Nothobranchius furzeri: one gene and its partner. The protein of the gene in region 1 purifies or fractionates together with the protein of each later gene. This does not show direct contact. Links are inferred from orthologs where the notes say so. Each region holds a gene or a part of one and is shown on either strand. Other genes may lie near its edges.

Region 1 (3,327 bases):
TCTTAGTTTAGCAGCGATTATAAAATTTACACAGAAACGAGCTTCGAAAACATCCCCAAAGTCCTTATTTTTTGAGTACATGTATCGTTTCTGCTCTTTTTGAACATCACCTGATTTCTCCGTAAGCTGAAACGACCCGAGGGTTTCCAGCAGGTGTTGATGGACGAGTTTGGCTCAGAACCTGATACGTTGGACTTAATTAAAGCTCGTCTTCATGACTACGGCAGCGTCAAAGATCCCTTTCTAATGTTCCATTTCGTGCTGACGGCATCATGAGCCATGACACCGACGTGAACTCGTAGACGTAGATATGTCTACGGTTTGACTAGGATGAGGAACCCAGACAGATCCACTTTATCTCCTGTCGCCTCATCCATTCAAAGATGGGTCCTGTGTGTTTGTGTTCCACTTTCATCCAGACACCTAGAATATTCTTCTCTGGCTTAGTGCCTCTGTTTGCTTTAGAGATTTGTGGCTCAGTGTGGCCCCCGAAGCCTCCTGCCGCACGCCGGTCGGGACACGTGGAGTTTGGATGCAATGTAGGTCAACGTTGTGCAACGCTGCAGCGCCATCCTGGCCCGTCTGGGTTTCTATCCCATCAGCTGGCCACCAGCCAAGGAACACACTCGTTCTCTGGTTTGTGAAGGGATCCACGGTCACACAGCTCACAAAAATACTCAGCAAACGGCCAAATTCCGGGTGATTTACCATGAAGGTAAAACAATCGGAAACATAAAAGCAGTCACAGCTGGAGGTTACCAATCAAGCCAACTGGTGGTAAATCCTGTCTTATTTTAATGGTGACTTCCTCTGGCTCTGGCTGTAGGCCACATGCTGAGTCATGCTCTGCAGCAGCCAGTCAGGCCCCTCTGATGATTTATGGGTAAAAATAAAATGCTTTAATAATCCAGAATCACATTTATTTTTCTGAATTTAACACGTTAATCTAATTTGTCTGATCCGATGTGAATTAACATCAAAGTGAACCAAAACTTTTATGCAAATCCACTAAAATTTATTCTGCACTTGCCTTTTAATCTTCGGAGGATCACATTTATGGATTTTTAGAAACGTTGCCGTGCAGCCAGAGCTGCCCGTCCGGGCACCACAGGGTCGCCCCACAGGAAGCTAGTCGCTGCATCAAAATGCTATCAGCCCCGCTCCGTGTGCAGCATCCTGATGAGACGTGATGGAGGCCGTTGTAAGCGCTAGCAGGAAGTGGGCTGTGCCTGAATGAAGACAAAAAGAAAATGGTGGCCTTTGCCTGGCTTGTGCAAGTTTTAATTCTCTAATCAACTTTCCTTCTGCAGGCAAAGGAGATCCTGACCAAAGAGTCCAACGTCCAGGAGGTGAGATGTCCAGTGACCGTGTGTGGCGACGTGCACGGCCAGTTCCACGACCTCATGGAGCTGTTCAAGATCGGTGGGAAATCGCCGGACACAAACTACCTGTTCATGGGGGACTATGTGGACCGAGGGTACTACTCTGTAGAAACCGTCACATTACTTGTAGCTCTTAAGGTGACTTTGTCAGACATTTAAAACAGTTTTTTTTTCCTCTTTGGGGTGAAAAACGCGACGTAAACAGATGTTTGTGTTTCAGGTTCGCTTCCGGGAGCGCATCACGATCCTCAGAGGGAACCACGAGAGCAGACAGATCACACAAGTCTACGGCTTCTACGACGAGTGCTTAAGGAAATACGGAAACGCAAACGTTTGGAAATACTTCACAGACTTGTTCGATTACCTCCCCCTCACTGCGCTGGTAGACTCTCAGGTGAGAGGAGCGTAATAAAAAAGACCGAACTTGACGTTTCTTTGAAAAGCATCATAATTTGTTATAATTATCGATTTTTTTTCCTCAGATTTTCTGCCTCCACGGGGGCTTATCACCGTCTATAGACACGCTGGATCACATCAGAGCTCTGGATCGTTTACAGGAAGTGCCGCACGAGGTAAAGAAAGACGTTAAATGTGGTGCAGATCAGCAACGAAACAATAAAGATAAAAACGTTTGTGACCATTCTCGTTGTCACGCAGGGTCCCATGTGCGACCTGCTGTGGTCAGACCCCGACGACCGCGGCGGCTGGGGCATCTCTCCCCGAGGAGCTGGCTACACATTTGGTCAGGACATCTCTGAAACGTTCAACCACGCCAACCGCCTCACGCTGGTGTCCCGCGCCCATCAGCTGGTCATGGAGGTTTGTCTTTGTGTCCAAAGATGATTAAAAACAAAGAAGCAGTGCCGCTAAGTTCAGATGCGTGTTAATATTACATCTGCTTACCTCAGGGCTACAACTGGTGCCATGAGAGGAACGTGGTGACCATTTTTAGTGCTCCTAACTACTGCTATCGCTGTGGAAACCAGGCAGCCATCATGGAGCTAGACGACACCCTCAAATACTCTTTGTAAGCAGGCGAATTTCATCACGAGTGGACAAAGAAATCTTAGAATAAGTTGTGATTTTTTTTCTTCCTGATGTTCCTCCTCAGCTTGCAGTTTGATCCAGCGCCTCGCAGAGGAGAGCCCCATGTAACTCGCCGCACCCCAGACTACTTCTTGTAAACCTGCAGTCTCGACCCGCGCACGGTCCGGTCCGGTCCTGTCCAGAACCACCAACCTATCTGACTTTGAACTGAAAACAACGTGATGGAGGCCTGAGAGGCTGCAGTGTTGCACGTTGTGTTTATCCAATCTAGTTAAAGCATTTCGCAAAAGCAAATGTGTCTATAAACGGACCAAAAGGTGTGTGCCATGATCACTTAAATATTTATTGTATCTGAAATGACAAAATAGAACATCCTGGATGTCTCGGCTCCTCCTCCTGTACATATGGAGCTGGGTTGACGGCACCAAAGTCCAAGACTAATTTGCTACTGCAGACCATGGTTTTTGAGATTTGAATGTGATTTGTTTGCACTTTTGTACAGTTAAAGAAATGTTAAATATGTCAAAAAGATTAATACGATTTCACGATATTGATAGTTTTTTTGTTGTTTATTTTTAAATTGCATGTAAACCTTCAGTTTTTTTTGACCTGTGTATGTTTTAGGAAAATCCCTTCTCATGCAGTCAGATGGCTTGGTTTATAGAAAAGATGGAGTGTTCATCAACTCACCTGCTTCCTTTTAGCTTCAGACTCTATAATAACCTACTAGAATAATAAAGATGACTTCTTGAATTGTGTTTTTGGTTATTCTTCATTCTTGTAAAAAGTCTAGTTATATTTGGATTTCTCTGGCCAGTTGTAATTACACTGACACAGCAAGGCGAAGACATAAAAAATACATTTATTTAAATGTGAATTTAAATTATTGTGCTCCATA
Region 2 (4,249 bases), on another chromosome or scaffold:
TTTAGGTCACCCGGAAAATATTCAAGTTGTGAAAATCAAATTTAGAATAACAAGAAAATTGCGGTGCAGTTCCCATTATTTCACCACGTCATTTATGAAATCTTATCAAATAATCGACAATGATAAAAATACTTTGAAGCCTTGAAATAAATTAACGTTTTTTGGTGCTTTTTCCCACTTAAATGTTATTGGAGCGATGTTTTTCCAAACGTCTCATTGTCACAATCAGAAGAGCTTAAAATCACCACCTAGCGGTGAAACCCTGAATTAAAAAATAAGGTTTTTGTGTTTTATCAACAAAAACTTCACCATAAGGTAATATGACTTAGTTTTCAGAACGAGTTTTATTTTACACAAATAATTACACTTCCATAAACATGTTCACTTAACCAACAGTAATTTCCTGAGATGACATTTACAGTTCATGACAAAATAACAGTGCACAAGTACATAACACTCAAAAAAGTAATGCTTACAAAATGTTACCGTGAGAAAGATGTGCAGTCAACTATTACACATTTACTCTGCAATCCAATCTAAAAATTCAGAGTAAAAACTGGTATTTATCATGTTGTAAGCATAACAATCAACTATGGCAGACAAAATGTACATTTATAAATTTACAATCTCTTTAAAAAACTGCCCACTGTCATTCCAGCGCAGGCATTTTGTTTTGTGAAACAGCCAATAGTCATTTTCTTGGCGATGAACACAACATCACACGTGGTGTACAAGTTAGCGTTTAAAACAGAGGCATTTTACTTTTTGGGCATTTTACTTTTTTATGTTCTTAAAAGATTAAACTCATCCTTTCTCCATTCTAAACAAAAATAAATCTCCCTCAGCTTCACTTCAGCATTTAGATAAATATAAAATAAACCAGTGATACCCAAAGCACCTCAGTCAAACTCCGTTCGTTTATGAGGAATTCACTCCCAACATTGCTGCAGTGAAAACACAACTACTGTACATAAAGATATCTATCATAATGATATACCCACTGGTAGTTAAATGCTTCTGATGGCTTTAATGTTGAATTTAAATTACTTTTACAAACATTATTCTGCAATCTAGGTTGTGCTTAAAAAAGAAAAAGCTCTTCCTGTTTGGTTGGTTGTTCCACCTGATCAGTTCAGACTGCAGCTGCTCGGGTCACTCATTGGTCACTGCCTGAGGGCACTGCTGCTGCTGGTGTTGATGGCTGGTGGCTCTCTTCATTTCCCATCTTCACAGATGCCTGGCTGATGGCCAGAAGGTCCCGAAGCTCCTTGTTCTCAATCTGAAAGAGCCCGGATAACCAAACGTAACCTCGTGTAGATTACTCGTTATCACCAGTCCATGCAAGATGGTTGTATCTATGCGAGTTTGGTTTATTGAATCAACATTTTAACCAGAATGAGTCAAGAAAGTCATCTCAAAGAGTTTCTAAGTTGATCTCAGGTGTGTCCAGATATTTTCATTCATAATCTAATGCTGCACCATACGCTCCAGGAAACTAGCAAACAAGAAAACCTGAGAAACTCCAACAGTTTTTATGCTAGCAGCACTAAGCCTTGTGTGTGTTTGTAGACTCATGCTAATTTCCTGAGCTGTTTCAAAGCCTTAGAGTCACTGATTTTGCCTTTTAAAAGCTTAATGATAACTCCTGACATCACGACTGCCATTCCAGTCCTTACCTCCAGTTGAGCAAGCCTCTCTTGAACAGAGCAGAAGTGCTGATCGTCCACCTGCATGGCTCTCCTCATCACTTGGCCCATCTCACATATCCGTTCCACCTGGCTTTGCACTTCCTGGATAAGATTCAGAAAGCATAACTTCAAACCCCTTTTTCTGTCAGAAAATTACATGACTGGGAATGTTCACAGCACAATGAAAGTTGGTGTACTTTGACGTAGTCTTGGTGTAGTCTGAGCACTGGTTTCGTGTCCAGCTCCTTTTTTGCCATCATCAGCTGGAGCATCTGCTTGCGATATCGACCCATGATCAGTTCTAGTGTGTACTGGTGCTCTTCAAGGGACAGCCATAGTTCTGCGGAAACAGTGGCGAAGACAAAAATTACAGACAAACACATGAACTCTAAAAATACCTAAAAACATTGTAAGGATTTTACCTTTATTCTCTTGCTGCAATTCCTTGATTTGAGTGTTTTCTTGAGTCAGAAGGATGTGAGGCTTGTATTTTGTGAGTTCCCGAATCTCTGAGCTGTCTTCTGTGTGCTAAAAGGCAGCAACAAGGAAAATGTCATAAGTAAAAAATACATTTTAAGCACTAGTTGGATGACTGTTCCACCTCTTGATAAATAATTCCCATTATTTAAATATGCTTTTAAAGGCTGGTGTACTTTTTTGGACGATCAGACCTTCTATCTCAAAATGTCTAAGTACTTGAGTAGAGTTAGAGAAGAGTGTCATTTTAAGCTTACCTGCAACCCCAAATCCTTAATGCATGGCTTAAGTCAGCCTTCTAATATAAATATACTTTCACCCAACGTTTATGTGTGAGAGACCATCTTACCTTGTCTGGAAGAGCATTGCCCACCTCCCTCATGCCCTGCACTCTCTGGCTGAGGGCCCCGGATTGCTCGATCAGTCCCTCAGCAGCCGTATCGTGCTCTTTCAGCCTTTCCAGGAGGGTCCTAGCATCCCCCAACACTTTTTCAAAAGTACAGGCCATTAGCTATTAAGTGACTAGTCGTATTTGTAAACTAAAGCTTCCAAATACCAGTTTGATCAGGCGAAAATTTGCCCGTACTGTAGCTTACGCTGGCTATGCTGTTCAAACGCACAAAAATGTTTTACAAACAAATATTCATATCTCAGCGGACCCTCCTAGATCATTTCTCAAGAGACAGATGACTAATTAAACCAGGACAATGTATAACAAAAGAAATCCCTCTTTTTGTTGGCAACTTCGTATTCGAGAGGAAAAAATATAGCGTCACTTCCGGGATTGTACCGTAAACAAGTATCTTGCCGTCAAACGTATCATCGTAGACGTAAAAATGTTTACGAATCCTTTGGTTTTCTCATTCTCGGCAAGGAAACCGTGTGCATAGACATTTTCTGAATAATTTCATTATCCAACTATCTTCATGAGTGTCTGGTGCGCAGACCTGTGGGAAAAGCCGTTTTAACATTTAATAGCATACTTTACTGCATATTAAGCATTTAATGCCTTTTAAACCTCGGTTGAGCCCAGGTTGAGCCCGATTATTTACTTCAAAACAACTGAACATCATTTCCCATGAACCCATGCGTGACAACAGAGCCAGCTGCAGAGGCTTCCCTAGCCTTCGTCAAATATCGCGGGAGCTGTCTCCCTAATCACTACGTAATGTGCCGTGCTGCTTCTAGCGGCGCTGGTGACAGTGCTAAAAGCTGTTGGGGTGAGTTTTATATTATTTTTCTCTGCTTGGTAAACCGTTGAGATATATTTAAATGTCTTATTTCGCATTTAATTTTTTTATAATTCAGGCGGGGTCACCAAAGCGAACGGGCGGTGTACAGCAGAAGTCGGGCCTGGGTGGGGATGCCTTGTTTTTTCTCGGGCCACAGCAGCGTGCTCTGGCTAACGAGCTAACGTTCCAAACGACCGAGCGACGGTTAAATAGCAAGCTGGCGTTTCTTTGACGTGTCTAAAGTACCGAAGACATGCTACTTTGGCCATTCTAACACTTAAGACGTTTCTAGTTGGTGCACAACTTTTGTAGACGCGAGCTTTGTAGGTAGTTTCTTTGTTTTCCATCATCCTCGTGCCGTTAGCCGCGGTGTTTTCTTCGTTTACCCTCGATCTGTTAGGAAATCAAACACGTTTTAGCGCATGTGTGTTGTATCGGACTTGATTAGCCGTCTGACAAATTTCGGATTTAAAATTGGTTTTGATCTAATTCCCATTTTGGTTTTTGCATTTGTTTCAGCTGGATGATGTCGCAAATGTGCCAACCTACTTCTTAACGATACACCTTAAACTGGACCTTTACGTTTATTCTTAAGTTTTCCAAATAATTACAAAAAACAATTTATACGACGTACTTCTCTTGAAAGAAAGCATCTTTGTTTATATTTTTTCGAAAGTATCAATATACCATTTATTAAAATCAAATGAAGAATACGTGGCATTGTAGCCTGAGCAACGTTTCTTTAGAAGTCTGAGGCGTTTATAATTTTATTTTAGTCAGGTTTTATTCACCATTATGCTTGTTTTTTACTCATGGATGTGTATTTTAATTTCTGGGTTTGTGACGAGTTTT

Evidence for each region. Proteins that work in one complex are often made in the same cells at the same time.
Region 2: the proteins of ppp2cab (region 1) and sike1 purify together in Homo sapiens (affinity purification with mass spectrometry; 4 studies listed by BioGRID and IntAct, with this or other methods). This does not show direct contact. The link is inferred for Nothobranchius furzeri from reciprocal best matches to the Homo sapiens genes PPP2CA and SIKE1.

Annotation. Positions count from the first base shown.
Region 1 is NC_091750.1:60,013,464-60,016,790, reverse strand, and holds the end of ppp2cab (serine/threonine-protein phosphatase 2A catalytic subunit alpha isoform), read left to right. Parts: intron 1-1,310; coding exon 1,311-1,520; intron 1,521-1,602; coding exon 1,603-1,776; intron 1,777-1,864; coding exon 1,865-1,954; intron 1,955-2,039; coding exon 2,040-2,201; intron 2,202-2,290; coding exon 2,291-2,409; intron 2,410-2,493; coding exon 2,494-2,566; 3' UTR 2,567-2,793; downstream 2,794-3,327. UniProt on the Homo sapiens protein: Catalytic subunit of protein phosphatase 2A (PP2A), a serine/threonine phosphatase involved in the regulation of a wide variety of enzymes, signal transduction pathways, and cellular events.
Region 2 is NC_091755.1:53,138,311-53,142,559, reverse strand, and holds sike1 (suppressor of IKBKE 1), read right to left. Parts: upstream 2,819-4,249; 5' UTR 2,674-2,818; coding exon 2,515-2,673; intron 2,217-2,514; coding exon 2,111-2,216; intron 2,029-2,110; coding exon 1,886-2,028; intron 1,791-1,885; coding exon 1,677-1,790; intron 1,280-1,676; coding exon 1,157-1,279; 3' UTR 326-1,156; downstream 1-325.